Linked DNA regions of Ovis aries. The protein of the gene in region 1 binds, or shares a complex with, the protein of each later gene. Links are inferred from orthologs where the notes say so. Each region holds a gene or a part of one and is shown on either strand. Other genes may lie near its edges.

Evidence for each region.
Region 2: IQCD (region 1) and DRC7 share a complex: the UniProt entries of both Homo sapiens proteins name them as parts of the nexin-dynein regulatory complex. The link is inferred for Ovis aries from reciprocal best matches to the Homo sapiens genes DRC10 and DRC7.
Region 3: IQCD (region 1) and IQCG share a complex: the UniProt entries of both Homo sapiens proteins name them as parts of the nexin-dynein regulatory complex. The link is inferred for Ovis aries from reciprocal best matches to the Homo sapiens genes DRC10 and DRC9.
Region 4: IQCD (region 1) and DRC1 share a complex: the UniProt entries of both Homo sapiens proteins name them as parts of the nexin-dynein regulatory complex. The link is inferred for Ovis aries from reciprocal best matches to the Homo sapiens genes DRC10 and DRC1.
Region 5: IQCD (region 1) and CCDC153 share a complex: the UniProt entries of both Homo sapiens proteins name them as parts of the nexin-dynein regulatory complex. The link is inferred for Ovis aries from reciprocal best matches to the Homo sapiens genes DRC10 and DRC12.

What each region holds. Positions count from the first base shown.
Region 1 is NC_056070.1:61,297,965-61,302,749, reverse strand, and holds the start of IQCD (dynein regulatory complex protein 10), read left to right. Parts: upstream 1-1,525; 5' UTR 1,526-1,627; intron 1,628-4,785. UniProt on the Homo sapiens protein: Component of the nexin-dynein regulatory complex (N-DRC), a key regulator of ciliary/flagellar motility which maintains the alignment and integrity of the distal axoneme and regulates microtubule sliding in motile axonemes.
Region 2 is NC_056067.1:25,268,799-25,273,539, forward strand, and holds the start of DRC7 (dynein regulatory complex subunit 7), read left to right. Parts: upstream 1-1,476; 5' UTR 1,477-1,481; coding exon 1,482-1,503; intron 1,504-2,824; exon of another isoform or gene 2,825-3,181; intron 3,182-4,617; coding exon 4,618-4,741. UniProt on the Homo sapiens protein: Component of the nexin-dynein regulatory complex (N-DRC) a key regulator of ciliary/flagellar motility which maintains the alignment and integrity of the distal axoneme and regulates microtubule sliding in motile axonemes.
Region 3 is NC_056054.1:191,026,600-191,031,402, forward strand, and holds the start of IQCG (dynein regulatory complex protein 9), read left to right. Parts: upstream 1-1,538; 5' UTR 1,539-1,654; intron 1,655-1,924; exon of another isoform or gene 1,925-2,161; intron 2,162-2,287; exon of another isoform or gene 2,288-2,333; intron 2,334-3,548; 5' UTR 3,549-3,690; intron 3,691-4,803. Other genes in the region: RPL35A (large ribosomal subunit protein eL33), read right to left, coding at 48-215, 415-425. UniProt on the Homo sapiens protein: Component of the nexin-dynein regulatory complex (N-DRC), a key regulator of ciliary/flagellar motility which maintains the alignment and integrity of the distal axoneme and regulates microtubule sliding in motile axonemes.
Region 4 is NC_056056.1:33,576,824-33,581,351, forward strand, and holds the start of DRC1 (dynein regulatory complex protein 1), read left to right. Parts: upstream 1-1,263; 5' UTR 1,264-1,328; coding exon 1,329-1,483; intron 1,484-4,084; coding exon 4,085-4,172; intron 4,173-4,528. UniProt on the Homo sapiens protein: Component of the nexin-dynein regulatory complex (N-DRC) a key regulator of ciliary/flagellar motility which maintains the alignment and integrity of the distal axoneme and regulates microtubule sliding in motile axonemes.
Region 5 is NC_056068.1:29,498,407-29,503,058, forward strand, and holds the start of CCDC153 (coiled-coil domain-containing protein 153), read right to left. Parts: upstream 3,266-4,652; 5' UTR 3,042-3,265; intron 2,923-3,041; 5' UTR 2,911-2,922; coding exon 2,841-2,910; exon of another isoform or gene 2,556-2,840; coding exon of another isoform or gene 2,516-2,555; intron 2,443-2,515; exon of another isoform or gene 2,438-2,442; coding exon 2,372-2,437; intron 2,003-2,371; coding exon 1,859-2,002; intron 1,321-1,858; coding exon 1,072-1,320; intron 1-1,071. UniProt on the Homo sapiens protein: Component of the nexin-dynein regulatory complex (N-DRC), a key regulator of ciliary/flagellar motility which maintains the alignment and integrity of the distal axoneme and regulates microtubule sliding in motile axonemes.

The DNA of each region.
Region 1 (4,785 bases):
AATGTAGAGAGAATATGTAAATGAACTTCCTTGTATTGATCACTCAGCCCTGACAATTATTAACATCTTGTCCTGGCCAGTATTTATTTTGAAGGCTGGAGAGGCTATTAACCTTTTCAACTCATCAAGAAGAGCTTTCCTAATTATATCGTTGTTATTATAGTAGCTACTGGCTTTTATTTTAACTGTATAATATATGACTGTTTGCTTGTAATGAATGCATTAGTTTTGTGGCTCTCAGAGGGGGTTATCACAACAGAGACATATGTGCCTCAATATGTGAATAGTGTTGCTGTTAGGAAATTTTACTCAGCTGATGTCCCCACTTCACAATGAGGAAAGTGAGGTTTAGAGGGGTTAAATTAACCGACCTCTTGTAAGTAGACCGCTGGGAAGTAATAGAGCCCAGATTTCAACCCAGGCAGTCTCACCCTCCCTGCTTAACCATTACCCTTCCTCTCTTCCCAGACCAGTCCCCTCATCTGAATTCAAACCCATAATTTTAGAGAGGGAAAACTGAGGCTCGGGGAAGAGAAGGGACGTTACTTAAAGTCACAGTGCTTCTCCCTCTAGAGAGGACCCAGAATGGAAGGGTCACCCCTTAGGGAAAGGTCCCAGGGAAAGCCGGCAGGCCGTCCCGCGCTCCACTCGGGCAGACGGACCGGGCAAGAGTCTCTTGCAGGGTGGGTGGACTGAGGGCTCCAGGGAGATGAGCATTTGAGAGAGAAAGGGGAGCGAAGAGGCGTGCGGGATTCTACTCCACGTGTTCGACTTTGAGCCCCCTCTCCCGCCCCGGGCTTCCTCGGGCGGTCCCCACGCTGGGCCCCCTCCCCACATCAGGACTGGAGGGAGAGAAGCGCAGCAATGAACTTCCCCGCAACCCCTCTTGGCCCGACCTGCCCGCCTCCCACACCCAAATACCCAGCCGCAACCTTTCACTCCGAGCCCCCTGCCCCTTGACCTCTGCCCTCTCCTCTGACCATCCCTCACATGCCTCGAATTCTTACACGCGCCGCCCCAGCAACCCGGACCGACCGCCGGGGTCCGCACAGCACAGCACAGCCCGCCGGCGCAGCCGCCAAAGCCCCGAGCCCGGAGCTGTTGCAGCTGCAGCAGCCGCCGCAGAAACCGCCACCTCAGCCGCTGCCACCACGGCAGCTGCGCCAGCTCTCCCATCCGCCGCCTACTGTCCCCTTCGCCTGGCCGGCACCGCCCCAGTCCCCCCTTCGCCGCGCCCTATTGGCTAACTCGGGCGTCATGATGATCTCTGATTGGCCAATCCTTACGTCCTTCCCCAGTTAATACAAGCCTCCTTGCCCACCTCCCTGGGGAAGAGAGGCGGGACAAAGAAGCTCCGCCCCTTTCACGCCTATTCTCCCCGCCTTACTCGTTCAGCTTAACCCTGAGGGACGCCCGGCTCTTCCAATTGGTGGAGAGTTAGACACACCTTGTTTCTGATTGGTCAGTCCTCAGGAGGTGGACCAAACCGAGGGGAATAAGGAATCGAATGGCGAAAAGGAAAGTTAATCAGACACCGAGTCCCGCCTTCTGAGATTGATGGGTAACCTAGCAACGCAGGAACAGCTGTGGTAACCAAGGACAGAAAAACTTAAAGACCACCGAGCAGGTGAGTGATCATGTGGGGAAGGGCTGGAGATGATGGGGAGATGTTGAATGGGATCTAGTCCTCTTATCTTTTTGACACTCTGAGGAATCAGCATCCCGTCCCCCCTCCCCCCACCGCTAGCCCGTCCCCAGCTCAGGACCCTGATCTCCAGCCCCTGCCTCAGTCTGGACGTCCCTCTCGACCTTCTGCAAAGACGACTGGGCGTCCTCTTTGGTGTCTCTGCCTCTACTCTGCCCTTCCTCTTGTCCACTTCATGGTTCCACTTCCTCATCCGTAAAACGTGGATGATACTAGTCAAGTGGACTCACAGCTAAGTTAAACTACTTTCAAGTTACACATAGGTGTTGGGGGTGAGAGAGTAGTTTTATAAGTCCCCTACCATTCTGTCAACAGCTTATAAATCCCAAGGTGAGCATGCAATGAGAGTGAGTGTTTAAATTATGTACCTTTGTACCAATGTTGGCCTTTTGTGCTATAATAACTTTAGACCTTAACTTCCATCACTGTCCTTAAAATATAATTTCATTTACATACTCAAGAGAAAGGGTTTGTTGCAAGGATTAACTAAAACAAAGTAGAATAGTTGTCGCCAGGGGCTGGGGGAGTGGGAAACGGGCAGTTATTACTTAACTGGTACAGAGTTTCAATTTGGGATGATGAAAAAGTTCTGGAAGGCAGATGGTGGTGATGGTTGCATATAGATATGAATGTAACAATTTAATGCCACTGAATTTTAAATGGTTACAGTGGTAAACTTTATGTTGCCTGCATAAGTGCTCAGTTGCTTCAATCAAAGTCAGTCGCTTCAGTTGTGTCTTGACTCTGCAAACCCTTGAACAGTAGCCCGCCAAGGCTCCTCTGTCCGTAAGATTTTCCGGGCAAGAATACCTGAGTGGACTGACATTCCCTCCTCTACGGAATCTTCCCAACCCAGGACTCCAACCCGGTCTTCTGCACTGAAGGTGGATTCTTTACCCCTGAACTTATGTATATTTTAACACAGTAATAATTTTTCAAAGCAACTATAAAGCTAGACAAAACCATCTATTGCTAAATTAGCACTCTGAAAATCAGCCAAAGGCATACAACAAACTGAGAGCTTTTATTCATAAAACCACCGAACTTCAAGTTTGTTTTGTACTTACCTGGGACTTCTCTGATTTCCCCATACTCAGTTCTATCTGGCATAATAGTTCAACGAGGGCAGGTAGCCCCCTGAAAACCAAGAGCTTCACTGTCGCTGTCTGATGGGGCTCACTTGATTTGGAGGACTCTTGGCTAAAGTAGCAATCTTGGTGGGACGAGAACAGGGAACGCCAGCGGGTGTAGCAGTCCAAGGTTGTAGTTCTATTCGGCGCCAACAGTGCACTGAAAACTTGGAGTTCTGGGGAATGCGGCATCCATGCGGAACCTGATGAGCTCTGTCTTACCTTGACTGACTAGAGGTTATGCGCATGTGCAGCAGAGACCTGCTCCGGCCCAAGAGACTTAGAAATGCTTGGCCTTTGGAGCCTGGTGTAGACAGGTGTACTGAGTGCATAGGGTACTTGCCATCCAAGAATAGGAGCCTTACTGGTTCAAAGTGTGAGCACAACCCCTGACTGATTTTTGGCTGAATATTAAACTATGTGGATACATAGGTGACCCCTAGGAAGCCAAGTTTTAAAATAAAAATATGCAAAAAAAATTAAGCAGAGATATCAGTAGCTGCACACCATGGAGGAGACTGACTTGACAGATTTAGTCCAGGAAGTAAATTACCAAATGCCCAAGCAAAACAAAAACAGCAATCATTAGGAAAAAAAAATACTGTGTTGCTACCAAAAAAAATTTCCCTCTAAGATTTCCAGTGTTCAATAAAAATTGTGAGATGTGTGTAAACATACTCAGGGGAAAAATGCAGTCAATAGAAACAGTCTCTATGTGTCCCCAGATGTTGGTTTCAGCAGACAAAGACTTCAAAAAAGCTATTATAAATACGATCAAAGAACTAAAGGAAACCATGTTTAAATAACTGAAAGAAGACAAGATAACAATGACTATCAAATAGAAAATATTTAGTATCCCAGAATAGATTATGATAAATTAAGGTGTACATTATAATCCCTAAATCGACCACTAAAAAAAAAAAAAAAAAAAACACTCAAAAAATATTTTAAAAATCAATGGAATAATTAAAAGAATGGACTAAAAACATTTAACACAATAAAAAGCATTCAGTAAATAGCATGGGGACAAAAAAGAAAAGGCATGAAATGCCAGAAGCCAGTGTGAGGAATCCTGCCCGTGACAAGGTCATGAGGAAGGAAGCTGACATACGCAAGGTCGTGATCAGACTTCAGAGTTCCCCCTGGCATTTCCTGAGCATGTACCCCCCAAAACCAAAAATCTGCCAGCCTTTGTACTCTGCTTTTCCACTTTTCTGATATTCTCTGGAAAAAAGTCAATTCAGGGCTTTAGTCTTCTGCATTTGAAAGGAATGTTTCAGTTAAACCCCCTCTGATTGCTCTCTAGCTTGCCTAACAGGTTCCCCAGACCTCTTGTGAATTGCTTACAGCCCCCCAACCGTGAGAGGCACAAGGCTTAGAAGCATCTTAAAGATACAGAGCCATTTCTAAAGAGTTAAAAATTATATTGGTAGAGGGTTTTTGCTGTTGACTCAATGACTGCTGCCAGGCCTCCATATTCTTTATCTTTTAGGCACCTGGGAGGATATTAATCAATATAAACGGGATATGGAAAAAGATATATAGTAGTTCTGATGTTAGCAACACTAGACTTTTGAGTTAACTACTTCTCTTTGTTATATATCACTGCACTCCTCTTGTGTCCTTGCTATGTAAGAATGTAACTTTACTTAGTGCTTTCTGAGAGTGGCACCAAACCTTGGGAAGATCAACACAAATAAGTCTTCTGGTTGACAAACCCTTATCAGAAAAAAGGCTGTAAAATGTTAATTGGCCCTTTTTGGCCAGAAGATGATGTAAATCACCTAAGACTTGTGTATACAATTAGGTATGCAGAGAAAAAGCCTGGTTTTGATAAGAGTCTGGACTGCTAACACTGCATAATTTTGTATTACCCATTAATCCCTATGTACAATCAAAAAAGGTATAAAAGGCCTTTCTAGACAATAGGGGCTGGAGCCAGTCGCTGGA
Region 2 (4,741 bases), on another chromosome or scaffold:
GGGAGTTGGGGAGCGTCCGAATGATGCCTATGTGGGCTGGGAATGGGTAAAGAGGAATAAACAACTATGTGGAGGAAATTAGGTGTTGCACGAGACAAAAGGAAAAAGGAGACCTATGTTCCATTCCGCCAGTGGCGCATATCACATTTTCCTTTTCCTCTTCCCTTCCTGGCTGCCTCCCAGGTGAATTCCCCAGAGAGGTAATTCCAGGATGAACTCCAGGACTGAAGTCCACATGCCATCTTAGGAATTTTCCCTCCATCTAATTTATCCTTCTCACTTTATTTTATATGACTGCATAATGTTCCAGCCAGAAGAAAAAAAATTGTTCTTTATTATCAAGAATTGAGGTGATGCCTACATTTTCACCAATAGCAGCAACTATACAATCTCGTCCAGACATCTGCAGGATTTCTCTGGACCCCACGGACCCCGACAAGGCAGCATCACAAGTTTTATGGGCCCTTTCCTTCAAAAAAAAAAAAAAAAAGAAGTTATCTTTTGTGACTACATTGGTACGAAGACAAATATAATCCCAGGTGGACTCATAATGTGCATTATTGGTCTATTCATTTTTTCCTTGGAATTTAAAAGAAATTAAAGTAAGCAATTTCATGGGCCACTAACTTAACAAGTAAGTTTTCCCTGTGCCATGAGATTTATACTAAATCAGTGGTCCAGCCTCGACTAGAACCAGGACTTGGGCAGCCTGACTCTGTCCACAATGACAGGCGGGCCATGCCAGGACACACACTGCTTTCTATCTGTTTGATGAAGGCCATACTGAGCATGCAAGCGGAAGCAGTGCTGTCCTGGTAAATGTTTAACAACACTTGATGAGAGAAATCTCTAGTATTCTTGCCTGGAGAATCCCATGGGCAGAGGAGCCTAGCAGGCTACAGTCCACAGGGTCGCCAAGAGTCAGACACGACTGAAGCGACTTAGCACGCGTGAGAAGAGAAAAAGTCCTTTTCTGCAGCATTTGCCAGTCTCTGTGGTATAAGTAAGCTCATGGACCATTTTAAGCTACCTATGTGACATCACTGAACAGAGCTGGAAAAAGATGCAGAGCAGCTTACCCTTACATAATATTTTCATCGTATAGATAACAATAGGGACAAATAACCTCTGGAGCTCAGATAACAATAAAATGCAGTAAAATAATTAGGAAGTGATGAGTTTTGAGTACTTCTTACCTCTGCTTTTAGTATAGTCTATTTACTTGTATGTTTTTATAATTTAAATTTTACTAATGACAGGGTTCATCAGTGGGTTCACAAACATTCCTAAAGCTTTAACCATCAGTTCTTGCAAACTGGCACATGAGCTGCTTCCAGCCCACCGCTGGCTGAGGGACATACTGCAGTGGGTCTCCTGGACCCAGACCTGGTTAGTGACAAAAGACTACATTTCCCAGAAGCCTCCTCTCCCAGGACCTGCCCTCGGCCTGGAAAGCTGTTACCATGGAGACAGGCTAACAGATGGTACAGGCTGTCCTCAAGGGTGAGATGGGAGCTGGGGTGTGGGGTGGCTGAACCCCACCTGGCAGGGAGGAGGGCAAGGGCGTGGGCTCTGGTGGTAAGGGGGATTCTTCTGCCTGGGGCCTATCAACCCCAAACTTTCTGGGGAAGTTTTCAGTGTGTGTGTGTGTGTGTGTGTGTGTGTGTGTGTGTGTGTGTGTGTGTGTGTGATGGTGAAGAGAAGGTTGTTGCTGGGGAGAAAGACTCAGGGAAGGGCTTGTGGGGTGGGGAGCGCTGCTGGGCACAGAGTTGGAGGAACTTTAAGGCGGGACTGCCTTCCCCAAACTGTGCTTTAGCTGACGGGGCAGGCTGATGCAGGGAATAAGCGTTGCAAGTCCTGGCTCAGCACCTCTGATGACGTGTTCTGTGACCTTGGCTTAGAGCCCATTTCAGTGGCTGCCCACTGACACCTTGGCCTCCTCGCCTCCTATGTCTTTCCTTACTCACTCCCCCTCCACTAAACCATCCATTCCTTCTAGTATTTTTACATTTTATTAGGCCCTTAAATGCATGGATTTCAGAGCCAGAAATATACAGGTTCATGTATATTTCTGCTCCTTACTAGTTCTGTGACTTTAGGGCAAGCACTTAACCTCTCTAGGCCTCAGTGTTCTCCTCTGAAAAGTGGGTATCATAACAGTATCTGCCTCATAGGGTCCGTAATGGAAAAACTCAGTCTTCCACCTTCTGTGTGTCTCCTTTACTTCTCAGAAAAAACCCTTTGCTTCTGACACTTCTGGTACCAAATATGTGGGTTTTCCCCTCACTGAGTAATTCCTCTTTGAAATATTCATTTATGTATTTGGCTACCTCAGTTCTTAGTTGCATCGCACACAGATCTACATTGCGTCCTGTGGGATCTTTCTTTGCAGCTCAAGGACTCCCTAGTCGTGACGCGTGGGCTCAGTAGTTTTGAGGAATGGGCTTAGTTGCTCCACTGCACGTGGGATCTTAGTTCCCTGACCAGGGATCAAACCGACGTCCCCCGCATTGCAAGGAGGATTCTTAACCACTCGACCACCAGGGAAGTCCCAAGAAATGCTCCATGACACCACTTGGGTGTCCTACAATTCAACTCAATTCTGACACTACCTCCTTGGAGTGGCATCAGATCCCACAGGTTAAAGACTCAGTCCCACAAGACTCTTCCCACTCACTCCAGATGCCAATAGCAAGCAAGTAGTCGGTCCCGGGTTACCCACAACTTCTGTTCAATGCAGCTACCGATTGGGGGTTCCCATGACCCCTCTCTCGGGTTCTATTTATTTGCTAGAGAGGCACAGAGAACTCAGGGAAACACCTCATTACATTTACCAGTTTATTAAAGGACACAGTAGAGGACACAGATGGCCAGGCAGGTGAAGAGATACATAATGCGAGGTCTGGGGAGGTCTGTGAAGGTCCCGAGTGCAGGAGCTTCTGTCCCCGAAGAGGACATTGCCTTTCCAACCTGGAGGCTCTCTGCACATCCTACTGTTGAGAGTCTTATGGAAGCTTCCTCACAGAGGCTTGATCAATTATTGAGCCCATTTCTACTCTTCTCTTGTCTCTGGAGAATGGAGGAGGGGCTGGAAATTCCAAGCTTCCAGCCACGGCTTGGTCTTTCTGGTGACCAGAAAGACTCCCCATCAGGGAGTCATCCAGGGGGTCACCCAGCCTTGCTGAAACAGAAAAAAAAAAAAAGAAAAAGATGTGCCTGGTGTTATCACTTCGGGAATTATAAGGGGACAGGATCTTTGGTCCACTGTAGTGAGGCTGGGCTCTCTGGCTGCAGACAAGGCCTTCCCTAGGGCGCATGAGCATATATGGCATTTCAGTGTCCATCCACCCCCCACCAGCCCCCACAAAGGTCCTCCATCCTGAGAGATGACGCAAGGGCTTGGCCAGAAGACTGTAGGCTGTGTCACTGACGCCTGCCCCTTATTCAGGTGCCTTAGAGGCAGCCCCATTCTTGCCCTCTCTGTGTTCCAAGTATGGTGATGTTACCTCTTTTTTTTTCTTCCTTGCTGTTATGAATGGCGCCAGAGGTAAAGAATCTGCCTGCTAATGCAGGAGATGTAGGAGACACAGGTTCAACACCTGGCTTGGGAAACAACAACTGTTTGTCTCCAGTGTTGCCAACCATGGTGCCACCCAGTCTCGTGAGGCACTGGGAACCAGCCCTGTTAGCAACTTAGTGACTGAGCATATAGGTGTCATATCTAAGAGGTCTAAAAGATAATTATGAATAAGTTTCTTTGAATTTAGACTTACTGGACTAAGCATAAATATATTTAATAGGAAACTTCATAATACTCGGAGAAGGCAACGGCAACCCACTCCAGCACTCTTGCCTGGAAAATCCCATAGACGGAGGAGCCTGGTGGGCTGCAGTCCATGGGGGTCTCGAAATCGGACACGACTTCACTTTCACTTTCACTTTTCACTTTCATGCATTGGAGAAGGAAATGGCAACCCACTCCAGTGCTCTTGCCTGGAGAATCCCAGGGACGGGGGAGCCTGGTGGGCTGCTGTCTATGGGGTCGCACAGAGTTGGACACGACTGAAGCGACTTAGCAGCAGCAGCAGCAGCCAGAAGGAGAAAGTAACTGGCTGAATAAATATACAAAAAGCAAAGCAAGGTTAATAAGTGTCAGCTACCTGCTCCTGCCCTGACAATAGTCTCAACGTGTGCCCTGCGACATCTCTGCCTCAAGGGGAAATCTGCAAATGTCAGAAAGGTGTTACAGGCGTACTTGCACCATGTGGAGACTTTCTCTCTGATGGAAAGGACGTTTAAGAGGGTCTTGCCTCCTCCCTTTGTGCCCTAAACCAGCAGTCCCCAACCCTTCTGACACCAGGGACCAGTTCATGGAAGACAATTTTTTCATGAACCAGGGGTGGAGGGAAGTGGTTTCAGGATGATTCATTTATTGTGTAATTTATTTCTATTATTATGACATCAGCTCCACCTCAGATCATCAGACATTAGATCCTGGAGGCTGGGGACCCCTAAATTCTAAAGCACATCAAAGCACCACCCAAGGACACAGGTGGTGTCATTGACTCCATTCTGGCCTGAAACTGGCCATTCTGAGTGCATTTAACCCTCCTGCAGCGACCTCCTCTCTAGACAGTCAGAGACACGCCAGAATGGAGGTCCTGAAGGAGAAAGTGGAGGAGGAAGAGGCGGCGGAGCGAGAAGAAGCAGCCGAGCGGGCCGAGAGGGGAGAGAAAACAAA
Region 3 (4,803 bases), on another chromosome or scaffold:
TGAGACAAATCAAGTAAAAACTCCAGAGTATAATACTATAAACTTACTTCTTTGCTTTGTACACATAAGCACATCTCTTGCCTAAATAGAATTCAGTTTCATCTCGAGCATATACACCTTCAATTTTCAGGAGAGCAGTGTGTTCCCTTTGGTTCCGTAGACCCCGTTTATAGCCAGCAAAAATTGCCTTGGACCACAGCCTAAGACAAAATACACTGTTAATTCTAAGCTGTTAAAATCTCACTTAACTTCAACAAGCAACAGCTATGGTTTGACTTGTGATGATCCCCACCTAAATTTACCTACACCAAACATCTATTTTTTTTCCCCACCAGACTTAAACTTACATTTACGATCATGCCTTATAAACAAGTACACTTGTAAGTACAAAGCAATGATATTTAAAACACATACCTTCCAGACATATTTGTCGTTTTAGAAGTCCCGTTCCCAGCAGGCCTGCAAACAAAAATACTCAGTTTAAAACCCCGCAACGCCCGTTTCCAACCTACTAGCTTCCTGTGGAACAGCACCCCAAACTCAAAGAATGCTAAGTAACTAAGCAAACGCCAAAATGAAGATAACTAAAGTGGCAAAATTCTACAGTACAAGACATAACTGCTAGAAACACCAAAAGAAAGTCTTAAGAACAACACTTTTACACACTTAAGTCGCTCAGTCGTGCGACTCAAGAGTCGCGACTCTTTGCGACCCCCACGGACTGTAGCCTGTCAGGCTCCTCCGTCCTAGGGATTTTCCAGGCAAAAGTGCTGGAGTGGATTGCCATTCCCCTCTCCAGGGGGCCTTCCTGACCCAGGAATCGAACCCGAGTCTCCCGTATTGCAGGCAGCCGCTTTACCGTGGGAGCCACCAGGGAAGCCACACTGAACGGGAAAGAAAAGCTAAGGAAAGACACAGTAAACATGCAGAACACAGGTTTGAGGTGGCAGTAAATGGACAAAGAACCCTGCCTAAAGGTGCCGCTGCTGCCAGACAAAATGCATCTGTTTTGTATTTTACTCCGCTAGGGCCCGGAAGCAACTGGTTACCGGAGCACCCATTCTCGGAGGTCAGGGAACCAGCACCATCAGTCCCATATCTCCTCCATCCTGTCCTCCCCGTTGCTGGAAATCACAGAAATCGTTAGCTGGTAGAGCCTCGGAGTCACACCCGTGCCTCGTCCGAGGGATATAGCCGAGCCTACCCCACTTATTTGCCCCCAAAGTTCAGCTGCAGGAAGTCTACACACCTTCACAGGGTCCAAGATGGCTGAAAGAGACCAGCGAGGACCCGCCGCGTGGTCTTGTGGGTAAATACATCTCCGCCCCGCCCCCGTTTAGGTAACTTCCGCGACCGCCAAAAAAGCCTCAGAAATCGCCTTCTGACTGAAATGAACCACGCTCAAAATCACCTGTACAATTCTCTCCCTAAGTCCTTTTATCTTTGTAAGCTGCAAAATGTATTATTTTGGAACACAGGGAGGCAAAATAGTAGCCAGCTAAAAGAGAAGAAAAGGTCCTCCGAAGCTGTCCGTTGCCACAGAAACACCTTAGCTTGGTTCCGACGGCCTCCGGGGGTGTAGTTGGCAAAGTGAAGCCGGAGGGGAGGACGACCTACGCTTCGAGTACCCTAGAACTGGTTCGCCAACAAGCGGGTATTTTTCCTTCTTACCACTTAGGAGTAGGGCAAACGGAAGCTCTCGGATCCTAGCCTGGAAGAGAAAGACCGCGAGCAAGAAAGGAGGAGAAAGCTCTTAATTCTCTATACCTTTCCTACCCCTTTGCATGCATATATACTCAGTCGCGTCTATTTGCGACTCTATGCACCGTCCTCCACCAGGCTCTACCCTTGGGATTCTCTAGGCAAGAATACTGGAGTGGGTTACCGTGTTCTCCAAGGGATCTTCCCCACCCTAGGAGCTTACCTGCATCTCTTGGATTGGCCGGCGGGTTCTTTACCACCAGCGCCACCTGGGAAGCCCTCTTCTGCCTTTCTGCGACCTTGTTCAGTCGTGTCCGACTCTTTGCGACCCTATGGACTGCAGCGCGCCAGGCTCCTCTGTCCATGGGGTTCTTCAGGCAAGAATACTGGAATGGGTTGCCATTCCCTCCTCCAGGGGATCTCTCCGATCCAGGGATCGAACCAGCGTCTCCTTTGGCTCCTGCATTGCAAGCGAATTCTTTACACATTGAGCCACCTGGAAACCACCCTCCGCCCCTTACCACCCTTTTAATCCTTTCCTCCTTTTACCCCTTTATCTCTTTAGAGAAATGACTTAAGTTCTTACCGCCGTTCTTCGTTTTGACTCCGAGGGTGAAGAGAACATCCCTGACAAAGTCTTGTTGCCTTTTAAGGAGAACTCAGCTGCCAAAGGGCTTTCCTGGTGGCTCAGCGGTAAAAAAAAAAAAAAAATTCCCCTGCCTATGCAGGAGATGCAGGTTCCATCCCTGGGTTAGGAAGATCCCCTGGAGAAGGAAATGGCAACCCACTACAGTATTCTTGCCTGGGAAATCTCATGGACAGTGGAGCCTGCCAGGCTAGAGTCCATGGGGTCACAAAAAAGTTGGACACGACTTAACAACGACAGCAGTTGCTAAACTCCCAAGTGCCTGCCACCTAGCCCATGTCCAATTGGTCTTCAGTAAATATTTGTGCACTGGAATGGGATAGCTTAGTGGATGCCTGAGATTTACCTTTCCTAATTATTGCACATTATTTGTGTTGCTCTTTGGAGAATCCATATCAATAACCTCAGATATGCAGATGACACCACCATTACAGCAGAAAGTGAAGAGGAGCTAAAAGCCTCTTGATGAAAGTGAAAGAGGAGAGCGAAAAAGTTGGCTTAAAGCTCAACATTCAGAAAATGAAGATCATGGCATCCGGTCCCATCACTTCATGGGAAATAGATGGGAAACAGTGTCAGACTTAATTTTTGGGGGCTCCAAAGTCACTGCAGATGGTGACTGCAGCCATGAAATTAAGACGCTTACTCCTTGGAAGAAAAGTTATGACCAACCTAGATAGTATATTCAAAAGCAGAGACATTACTTTGCCAACTAAGGTCCGTCTAGTCAAGGCTATGGTTTTTCCTGTGGTCATGTATCGATGTGAGAGTTGGACTGTGAAGAAGGCTGAGCACCGAAGAATTGATGCTTTTGAACTGTGGTGTTGGAGAAGACTCTTGAGAGTCCCTTGGACTGCAAGGAGATCCAACCAGTCCATTCTGAAGGAGATCAGCCCTGGGATTTCTTTGGAAGGAATGATGCTAAAGCTGAAGCTCCAGTACTTTGGCCACCTCATGAGAATGAGTTGACTCATTGGAAAAGACTGATGCTGGGAGGGATTGGGGGCAGGAGGAGAAGGAGACGACAGAGGATGAGATGGCTGGATGGCATCACTGACTCGATGGATGTGAGTCTGAGTGAACTCCAGGAGACGGTGATGGACCGGGTGGCCTGGCATGCTGCGATTCATGGGGTCACAAAGAGTCGGACACAGCTGAGCGACTGAACTGAACTGATGGATTCATTCTTTTTTTCCAACAGTTTGTTGAATGACTGACTACCATGTACGAAATTTTCTTCTTGGCTTGGAGGATGCTGCGGTAAACAGAACAACAGAAATCTGTGTCCTCATGGAGCTTACATCCTAGTAGGAGAGCAAGACAAGGAGCAAGTAAAATAGAAGGTGGTGTGAGAAAAAAATGGTTCATGGAGCTTGGCTCTAGCTGGGCAAAGTGGTAGATACACAGCAAAATGCCACTGGTTGAAGCTGGTACCTGATGGACCAGTAGGACTTTACAAGGTGGAAGAGATTAGGGGAAGAGTGGTTCAAGCTGAAAGAATAGCATATGCAAACACCCTGAGTTAGAAGAGAGCATGATTCTTTAGAAGAAAGAGGCCCACTGAAGCTGGACCCATGAGAGCAATAAAAGGGCAGTGCTAGATGCATCTGGAGAGGAACAGAGGAGCAGCCCTATGGTCCAAGTTAAGAATTTTAGTTTTTTTCTTAAGTTAATGGGAAACCATTGAGAGGTTCTAAGAAATACAATGAAATTTTCAACTTTATACGATGAGCCCTTTATTTCAAAAAGATCACCTTTAATTTGGAAGCTGTTAGAGTAGTTCAAGCAAGAAACAACAGCTAGATTCAGCAGGGTATTGGGGGAAATAGAAATTGAAAGTAAAATCCACAGGACCTGGTGATGATTTGAATTGGGGGAATGCTGATGTCAGGATGAAGGAGGAAGCAGAAATGACTCCTGAGTTTCTAGCGTTGAGGAATGAGCAGCCAGAACTTGAAAGCACTAAGCATAGGCCTTTATTACTTATGTGAGGCATACTTACTGATGCCCCAGGCCTGAGAAATAAAGAACAACGCAGCAAAAGAACAAAATCTTAACAGCATATTACTTGCTTCTAAGACTGCCCTTGTACTGGAAAATTTAGCTAGTTTGGAATATTTTTTTTTCCACTTTATGTAAAGATTCTTTCAGTTCAGTTCAGACACTCAGTTGTGTCTGACTCCTTGCGACCCCATGAACCGCAGCATGCCAGGCCTCCCCGTCCATCACCATCTCCCGGAGTTCACTCAGACTCATGTCCATCAAGTCATTGATGCCATCCAGCCATCTCATCCTCTGTCGTCCCCTTCTCCTCCTGCCCTCAATCTTTCCAAGCTCAGAGTCTTTTCAAATGAGTCAGTTCTTCAAATCGGGTGGCCAAAGTACTGGAGTTTCAACTTCAATATCAGTTCTTCCAATGAACACCCAGGACGACCTCTTTAGGATGGACTGGTTGG
Region 4 (4,528 bases), on another chromosome or scaffold:
CCAAGGTGGCAGGGCCTGTCTGCAATTTCTTACTACCCTAGTGCCCTTTTCCGAGTTTCTCTCAGGCCAGTAGTACAAGGTTCGATCAAATGTTATCCTGCTTGTTTTCGAATGAGTCTTAATGCTACATAAGAACGCGGTGCATTTTTTGTCGCAGTGCGACAATTGACACGTACAAAACACCCAGGAAATAGTGCTTTTCAAGGGACAGTAGTCCTTCGAAAGTTTAAATGTGCTTCTGTGCTCTTAACTTTCATTCCTCCCCCCTCACTCCCTTTCCTACCTGTTTTTCTCTGCTCTCCTCTTTTTTCTGTATGTGATTGCGGGTAGTAATGGAGGGAGTGCAGCCCTACTGAAAACCGCTACATAAGACAACGGTTCCTTGTTGGATATACATTTATTGATGGCAGGGGGTTTTCACATTCTAGAGACGATAGAGGCTGAATACACAAAGTAGGAGCTCAAACACTAATGGATGATGGGAATTCCTCCGCGGCTCAGTGGTAAAGAGTCCGCCTGCCAGTGAAGGAGACAAAGGTTGGATTTCTGATCTGGGAAGATCTCACGTGCCACGGAAGAACTAAGCCTGTGTGCTGCAACTATTGAGCCTGTGCTCTGGAGCCTGGAGACTGTAACTACTGCAGCCAGGAGCGGCAACTACCAGAGCCCTTGCGCCCCAGAGCCCTTGCTCCGCAATCAGAAGCCCATGCACTGCAACAAGGAGTAGCTCCCGCTCGCGGCAGCTAGAGAAAAACGCCTGCTGCAAAGAAGACCCAGCACAGCCAAAAGTAAAGTTATACATATTAATTTTTAAAAAGAATGGATGACAAGCAGGTGGATGCAATGTACTTTAGTTCAGAATTTCTGAGTGAACCTATTATTCTACCCCCTCCATCGAGGAAAAGACAACGCTTGGATCCTCGGAGCTAGCACAGTGATTGGCATAGAGTAGACATTGAATTACATTAGCTGAATACGGTGATTTTGAGGATTATTTATTTGATGGATGAATTAATCATAGGGTAGGTAAGTGATGAATCACAACTTGGTTCAGCTCTTAAGTCTTCCGGCCTCTGTTAATACCACCTGAGCCTTAGTGGGGGATTCAATACAGTCCTCACCGTAATTGCAGCAGAGGAATAAAACCCCAAGCTGAGACAACGGCGCTAAGAACACCAGTGCGCCCGGCCTTAGGGGCTGCGCGCGCAACCACGCCAGCTGCGGGTCAGGTGACTGCATTTCCCTGGCAACAGCTTTGTTGTTAGCAACCAAACTGTAGTCCCACGGTGGTCCAGGCAGGGCTGCCCGGGGGGCGGAAGGCACCTGCCATGAATCCGCCAGGATCCCTGGGGGTCCTGGAGGAGAAGGAGGATGAACATTTAGCCACCCCAATTCTCGGACCCTCCGTACATTCTGATAATCCTCAGGAGCGGATCCAGGCCCGGCGCCTGCGCATTGCGGCGCGCCTGGAAGCTCGGAGGCGGTGAGTCAGGGTTTGGGCGCGTTCTTCCAAGGAGCGCCCGGGGTGCAGGTGACCTGGGTGCTGGAATGAGGGGGTGGCTTCTCCAGGCCGGAGCCCCTGTGGTGAGGGGCTCGCGTGCCCTACGTGTGAGCTGGTCTTGCTTCTTGATGAGATAGAAAACTTTTCTGCCAGAAGGTTCAAACAAAGTATGTGATATTAAAGCATTGAATACACTTAGCAAAGTCAAAGATGGAAACAGGAATCCCTCCAGCACGTTCACGGAGAGCCTGCTGCGCCAGGCACTGTGGGCCGTACCTGAAGATGTTGGGGCTTCATGACCGGTCCCCCGAGATCGTTCTTTCCTCCTTGCCTCCCAGCGTGCCTTCCTTCCACAAGGGGTTACAGAGCAGACCTCGGCTATCACTTCTGTTGGTTTCAGTGGCTTAACTGGTTGTGTGACACAAAACCGTTTTCCTGCAGAGTCTGAGGCTGATAACTGTACCATTCTCAGGCTGGGGTTGCCACCCTCGTCCACTCACAGACTTTGTGGCCTGTCTTAAGAAGGGGGATCGAGGGGAACTTGCGTGAACCTGTGACTGCCTGAACACCGCACTGTGTGACAGCGCTTATACCTCGTCCTGCTGGTCAGGGTCAGCTGCCTTGCCAAGATGGTGCTTCTCTTGTTGTCTGCCGGTCTTTGGACACAAGGGGCCCAGAGTGATGTGGCTGTGTTCCAACAAAAACTTAACTTAAGGACACTGAAATTTGCATTTCATATAATGTTCGTGTGTCACAGAATATTCTTCATCTTTAGATCTTTTTTTTTAAAATTGATACACTTCATATTTTAGAGCAGTTTTAGGTTCACAGAAGAATTGAGTGGAAACTACAGAGGTTTCCCATTTACCCCCTACTTCTACACATGTATGAAGCTACCCTGGTGGCTCAGATGGTAAAGAATCTAACTGCAATGTGGGAGGCCTGGATTTAATCCCTGGGTTGGGAAGATCCCTAGAGAAGGAAATGGCAACCCACTCCAGTATCCTTGCCTGGAGAATCCCATACAGAGGGGCCTGGTGGGCTACAGTCCATGGGGTCACAAAGAGTCACACCCAACTGAGTGACTAACACGCACTCTACACATGTATAACCTCCTCCACTATCAATATTCTCCACCAGAATGGTACATTGGTACAACAGTTGGATCTTGATAAATATATAATGACATGTATCTACCCATCACAGTACTGTACTGAAGAGTTTCACTGCCCTAAAAATCCCCTGCACTCTGCCTATTCGTCTTGATCTTTTCAAAAAACCATTTGAAATGTAAAAAAATCATTCTTCACTCCTGAGCCATACAAAAGCAAGTGAATCAGATTTGGCCCATCAGCCAAAGTTTGGCAGCCCTGAGATAACAGATCAGTGTGATGCTCTGTGGGATATCCAAGTGGTCCTGATCTATCTAGACTCTAGTTTGTCAGCTCAGGAGCATTGACATGGCCCTGCAAGTATGAGGACTGTATGAGTGTGTATTATCTGTTCCTCCTCGATATGAACTTCCTAATCCTTTTTCCTGACTGAGGTAGAAATAGCATATTTGGCTCAATCAGTGGCCACATTCCAGGTACCTAAGGCCACACTTATATGTTCAAGCAAGGACCTGCATGACAGCTGCAATTAGGACTGCTGCTTGCTTGAGCTTGCAGTAATTGACAATCATTTTCTTGGCTCCATCCATCCAGTTTTTGCAGGGACCTGACCAGTGAATTAAATGGTGATTTGATAGGCACCACCACTCCCACATCTGTGAGATTCCTAATTGTACTGTGTGCTCAACCACTCAGTCATGTCCAGCTCTTTGTGACCCTGTGGACTGTAGCCCACCAGGCATCTCTGTCGATGGAATTTTCCAGGCAAGAATACTGCAATGGACTGCCATTTCCTTCTCCAGGGGATCTTCTCAACCCAGGGATTGAATCCACGTCTCCTGCATTGGCAGGCAGCTTCTTTGCCACTGAGCCACCTGGGAAGTCCTTGAGATCCCTAAGGGTGATGCTAATCCCTACCGTAGCCCTGGTATACAGTATTGCTTTTTGTGCACTTGGGTGCAGTTTTGGAGTGTCCATTTGACCTTCCATATGGCTATAGCTCTTACCCACAGGCCAACAACCTAGTGTGAGAATTTCTCAACTTTCTAAGCATGTTAAGATCACCCTTGTTGCTCTTTAGGGAATGGTTTGGAGGAACAAAGATCCTACATGCCACTTGGAGTAAAAAAACTCTGCCTTTCCAATGCAGGGGAGGCAGGTTCCATGGGGAGCGAGCTAAGATCCTACATGTACTCCCTGCATTGGAAACTCAGAGTCTTAACCACTGGACCACCAAGGAAATCCTGGATTGTGTTCTTTTTAGTATTCGAATTTTTATCCCTATGGAATATATTTTTGTATATGGTGAAATATACTATGAAAATTTAAAATTAAATCCCCCAGGCCATGCACAGCTCAGCAGAAAGATTTAAAAACAAAACAAAACAAAACAAGAAGTTAGGAAAAAAAGTGAAAGGTTTTACTTCCTAGAATTTAAACTTCATTTTCTCTACATTTTTTGCCATCCCAGGGAAGCTCTTGGAGAATATTTAGACGGGAAGAAGGAGAGTGAGGAAGATCAAAGCAAGAGCTACAAACAGAAAGAAGAAAGCAGACTGGTAGGAAATGGGGTATAAATGGGTCCCACCAGTCCAGTAGGACCCAGACGGAGGCTTCACTCTTTCTGTGCTGGGCCTTTGATGCAGCAATGCCAAGCCCCGCCCCTCCCCCTCTTCTTCCCTCCTGTCCTCTCCCTTCCCTCTTCCCCTCTCCTCAACCTTGGTTCCCAGCCCAACTTTAAGACTGTCTCACAGCCCAACTTCTCCACGATGTCTGCCGCGAAGCAGGTCAAACTCTTTGAAGTCACACATGGAACTTTTCTCGTCTGTACCGTTCATTTATTTCACTATAGACAATTTTCTGCCTTGTTTGACTTTCCAAATGTGTGTGTGTGCGGTGTCCCCGGTGGAACTGT
Region 5 (4,652 bases), on another chromosome or scaffold:
CACGCTGCAACTAAGAGTTCACATGCCCCAGCTAAAGACCCCACATGCTCCCAACTAAGACTGGGGGCAGCCAAACAAACAAATAAATAAAAACACATTAAAAAAAATGTGATAACGTGTGGGAAAGCACCTCGTATGTAGGAGGTGCTTAAAAATGCTGATTGCATTTGAGATAAGGCAAAGATTAGGAAAGGAACTCAGGGTCTTCGTGGGAAGATCAGCAACTCTTGGATATCTAAAGCTAAACTAAAGCTACTTTAAGATAAGAAAACTTTGAGGGCAAAATTGTGGAAAATCTGTGCCATGCTAAAATTTTTCAACTCTGTCCTGTTAACCAAGATGGAAGAGAGCAAAAGCTTCCTGTTTGTTTGTTTGTTTTTTGTTTTGTTTTGCTTTGTTGCTTATTTAGAAGCTCATTTATTTATTAGCAAATAGTTATTCAGGACCTACCACACATTAGGTCTTGAAGATACGGAGGTAAGTAATTCAAACAGTTATATTCAAGCTTGCTTTCATTCTAAACATCAGCCAAACTAAGAGAGACTGTGTTTTGCTCGTGAGAGACATGTGGGCAGTGGGGAGTAAGAACTGTCTTTAGAGAGACCATTGAGAGAGGGAGGTGCAGTGAGAAAGTTAGGGCTTCTTCATTTATAACTAAAAGGTTAAGATTGGGTATTTTTTGCTATCCTGAACCTTCTGTTGCAAGTAGTAGAAGAGTCAGTGGGGGAAGACAGTATGAGAGCTTAAATTGCAGTTTTCTAAAGAAAGACCATTCTAACTCCACCCCTTCAGGCTGGACTACATCAGTGTGATCCTCTGAGAGAAAGTGCTGTGAGGGCAGGGTGTGCTGTGTGTGCGTGCTAACTCGGTTAGTGCTTGACTCTTTGTGACCCCATGGAATGGGGCTATCCAGGCTCCTCTGCCCATGGGATTCTTCAGGCAAGATTACAGAGTGAGTTGCCATGCCCTCCTCCAAGGGATCTTCCCGACCCAGGGATGGAGCCCACATCTTTTAAGTCTCCTGCATTGGCGGGCGGGTTCTTTACCACTAGGGCCACCTGGGAAGCCTACCTAACTGCTCCTGCAGGCCCTTCACTTCTTCCTCCAGCTTCCTGGTGCGACTCTGCATCGCCTCCTGCAGGCTCCGGCACTGACGACTCATCTCTGGCAGAGCCGTGGGTGGCCAGGGACCCAGATGGGGAGAGAGCAGTGGAGAAAGGACAGAAGTTGTGGGTGGGGAGGGCTCTGCTTGGTCCAGTGGACAAGTGCATAAAGGTCTGTTGAGGGCCTTCCCTGGCAGTCCAGTGGTTAAGACTTCACCTACCAATGCAGGGGACGCGGATTTGATCCCTGATCTGGAAGCTAAGATCCCATATTCCTCAGAGCCAAAAAACCAAAGCATAAAACAGAAGCAATATTGTAACAAATCCAATAAAGACTTTAAAAATGGTCCACATTAAAAAAAAAAAAATCTTAAAAAAAAAAAGTCTTCTGGATTCTTGTGGTGATCTGAGAAGGTAGGGACAGAGCTAGGAAATAAGACACCCATCCGCTATGGTAGCTCAGTATGTGAATTCAGGCCCTCCTTCCCACCCACTCCCACGGGAGGAGTGAGATAAAGGCTAGGGCTGCGTTTCATAGTCCACGGGACATCAAGCACAAAGCACTGCATGTCACGGAAGGTTCCTGCCCAAGACCACAGAAGGCCCCCTCAGGATTCCTGTGGGTGCAGGGAGGGCTGAGGCTAGGTATGGCGGTTCGAAGTCCTCCTTGTCTCCCTTTCTAGCATCCTTGGGCCCTCCCAGTTGTCCTCTTCCGGGCCCCTGTCTCCCGCCCACCTGCTCGATCAACCTCACACCTGCATATATGGCCTTCCCTTCGCTCCGGGCCCCCTCCAGTTCAGCCTCCAGGTCTTTGATCCTCTGCTTCAGCTGGTCTTCCGAAGCCTTGGCTCGGCGGGCTTCATCCCTCTGCAGAGCTGTGAACAGTCCAGAGCAGCCCTCTGCACTGGTTGGGGGCTCCACTCAATCAATCAGCCCCCATGGCCTTGATGGACTCTGTCCACCTTCAGAAACCTGGCGGCAGCCTGCCAGTCTCTCATCGTCATTCTGTTTCCCTTCCCCGCCTCAGAATCCTACAGACTCTGTTACTAAGAGGGAAAAACTCCCTCTGTGTTCCAGCTATAAAAGTTAGCTTTCTTTATCAACCCTCACGGCCCACCCTGTCCTCATGACCCCAGCTCTTGACAATCTTTTCCCATTAGGGGATGGTTAGAGATCAGCTCAGCCCTCCACCATTGTTCCAAAACTTTAAGCTCCCAGGGATACACAAATGCCCACTGTCTCTGTTGCCGAACTTCTACCCTTCTTACCCAAGCGGTCTTGGAGCACCTCCTTTTCCAGCAGTGCCAGCCTGTGCATGGATTCAGCCTCCACATCTGCCCTGGCAAGACAGCAGACCCTCAGCTTGTCAGGATCTCAGCCTTCCCTACCCTCCTCCCACCCTCCTCCCATACCCTGGACTTCTCTTTTTTTTGTGGGAGATACAAGGACCATTAAATGAGGGATCTCTGATAGCAAAGCCTAATGAGTTCACTACCCAGCTCACAGTAGGTATTTGAAAGATTGTAATGAATATACAAGGAAGGCACACAGCCAGAAGGGATTCATGGGTGCTGATTTTCCCATGTTCCCAGCTCCATGGCACCCGAATATGGATATAAAGGGGGAAGGCCAAGACAGCTCCATCTTGTCACGCAGAGGGATGAATTCTCTCTGGAGGTCTCTGAGCCAGAACAAGGAGAGGCTGGGAGGCACCCACCTCCACCCAGTCTGACTCACCAGCACCTGCATTTCTTTTCTTCTTCTGGGCCCCAGCTTTTGTCCCTTTTTCTTTGGTCTTAGGTGGCATCTCCTTCCTGTCCTGGAGGGAGGGAGGGGGCTCATATTTAGGTCTGGACATGGAGACACTCTCCTGACTCCCTAGACGGAACCAGGAGTCCCAGGAGAATTAGTGCTCTCATCTCCAAGTCTGTCTCTTACACTTTCCAGAAGCTTCAGTTCTTGGTTTCCTTGGAAACTTAGGCAAGGCTGGGGCCAGGGGGAAGGATGAACCCATTTCTCTCTACCAGTCAAGCTCTAAGTACAGAAATCATTCCTCTCAACCCTCTTTCAGAGAAAATAAAGCTCAGTACCTGGCCCCTTCTCTCTTCCCATCATCCTTACCCTGCCTCTTCCTTCCTCCAAGACCCTCACTTGTCTCTGTTGTATCTCCCTGTGGCGTGACCCACTTTCCAGGAGGGGCAGAGAAAAGGCCCAACCAGCTAGGAGCCGGAGGAGGAGATTGTGTTCTGGGACCCAATCCAGAGTGGCAAATTTCATTTGGGGGTGGGACTGAGAACTGGAAGGTTGGGCTTCTGGAGGCTGCACGTTGTCCAGGCAACTGGGAAACATGGAGCTGTTAGGAAGGTACATGCATGCTTGCTCAGTCGTTATAATTGTGTCTGGTAGAAGGGGCTAAATACAATGCTTAAAATACCAAGGTCTCAGAGGGCCAATACTCTTCTTGTCCCCAGATCCTAAGTGTAGTTTGAGGAGAGAGGGCTTTGGAACTGATTAAATATGATTCACTTCTATGTAGCACTGCCTGCAATTTGGACACTTACAAATTATAGATTTACACATCCAAAATAATGCTATTGCGCTGATACAGAGGAAAAGAACTCACGGTAGCCATTTGGGGTGATTTACATTTCCCAAAGTCTCATCAACAAAATGACATTATTAAATAGGCTTAAAATTGAAGATTTCAGGAAGGTATTCTACGGTGAATGAGGGAAAGAAATTCAGGAGATGGTGGTTGAGAGAGTTTCCTATTTCAGATAAATGAGACACAGAGGAGAGTTCGACCTAGGACCTCAAGGTGCTGTGCTAAGTCACCTCAGTCGTGTTCGACTCTTGCAACCTCTTGTGACCCCATGGACTGTAGCCCTCCAGGCTCCTCTGTCCATTGGATTCTCCAGATAAGAATACTGGAGTGGGTTGCGATGCCCTTCTATCCTGACATAGATGCAAATCAAGAAGAAAGGGTACTGGTTAGAGACAGGAGCTTTTGAGTTCTCATCCTTACCCTTCTCCAGATATGTAAATTTGGGTAAGTCATTTTCCTTGCTCAGCCTCAGTTTCCTAAATCTTTGATTTTGTAAATCTTGAAAGGCTTGGATTTTCACCAGGTATTTACAGGACTATCTTCTTTTATGGTGACTTAATATATTTCCTCTTTCTCCCTATTCCTGTCTGTGGTTGATTTTCAGACAGGTGCTGAGAAAATAACCAGCTTGGTTCCCTGTGGCATTGAGTTGATTTGGGCTCCCTCTAGTGGATTTTCTTGACCTTCTAGTAAGTCTCCTGAATTTTTCTATTTAAATTATTTATGGAGCAATGTTGGGGGCACCCCTCATTTAGGGGTGCTGCCTAGCATCTTGCTGGAGTCACGAATAGTTGGAAAAATAAATCTGGGGAAGGGAGAACGCTGAGTGGCTTGCCCTGGTTAGCTGTTCCCTCCCCGAAACCCCTCTCTCCAGCCTTTTGCTATTGGGAGCCTTTGCTGTCTGTCTGCCACCCAGATTTGTGAACACCAAAGTGGCTAAAATG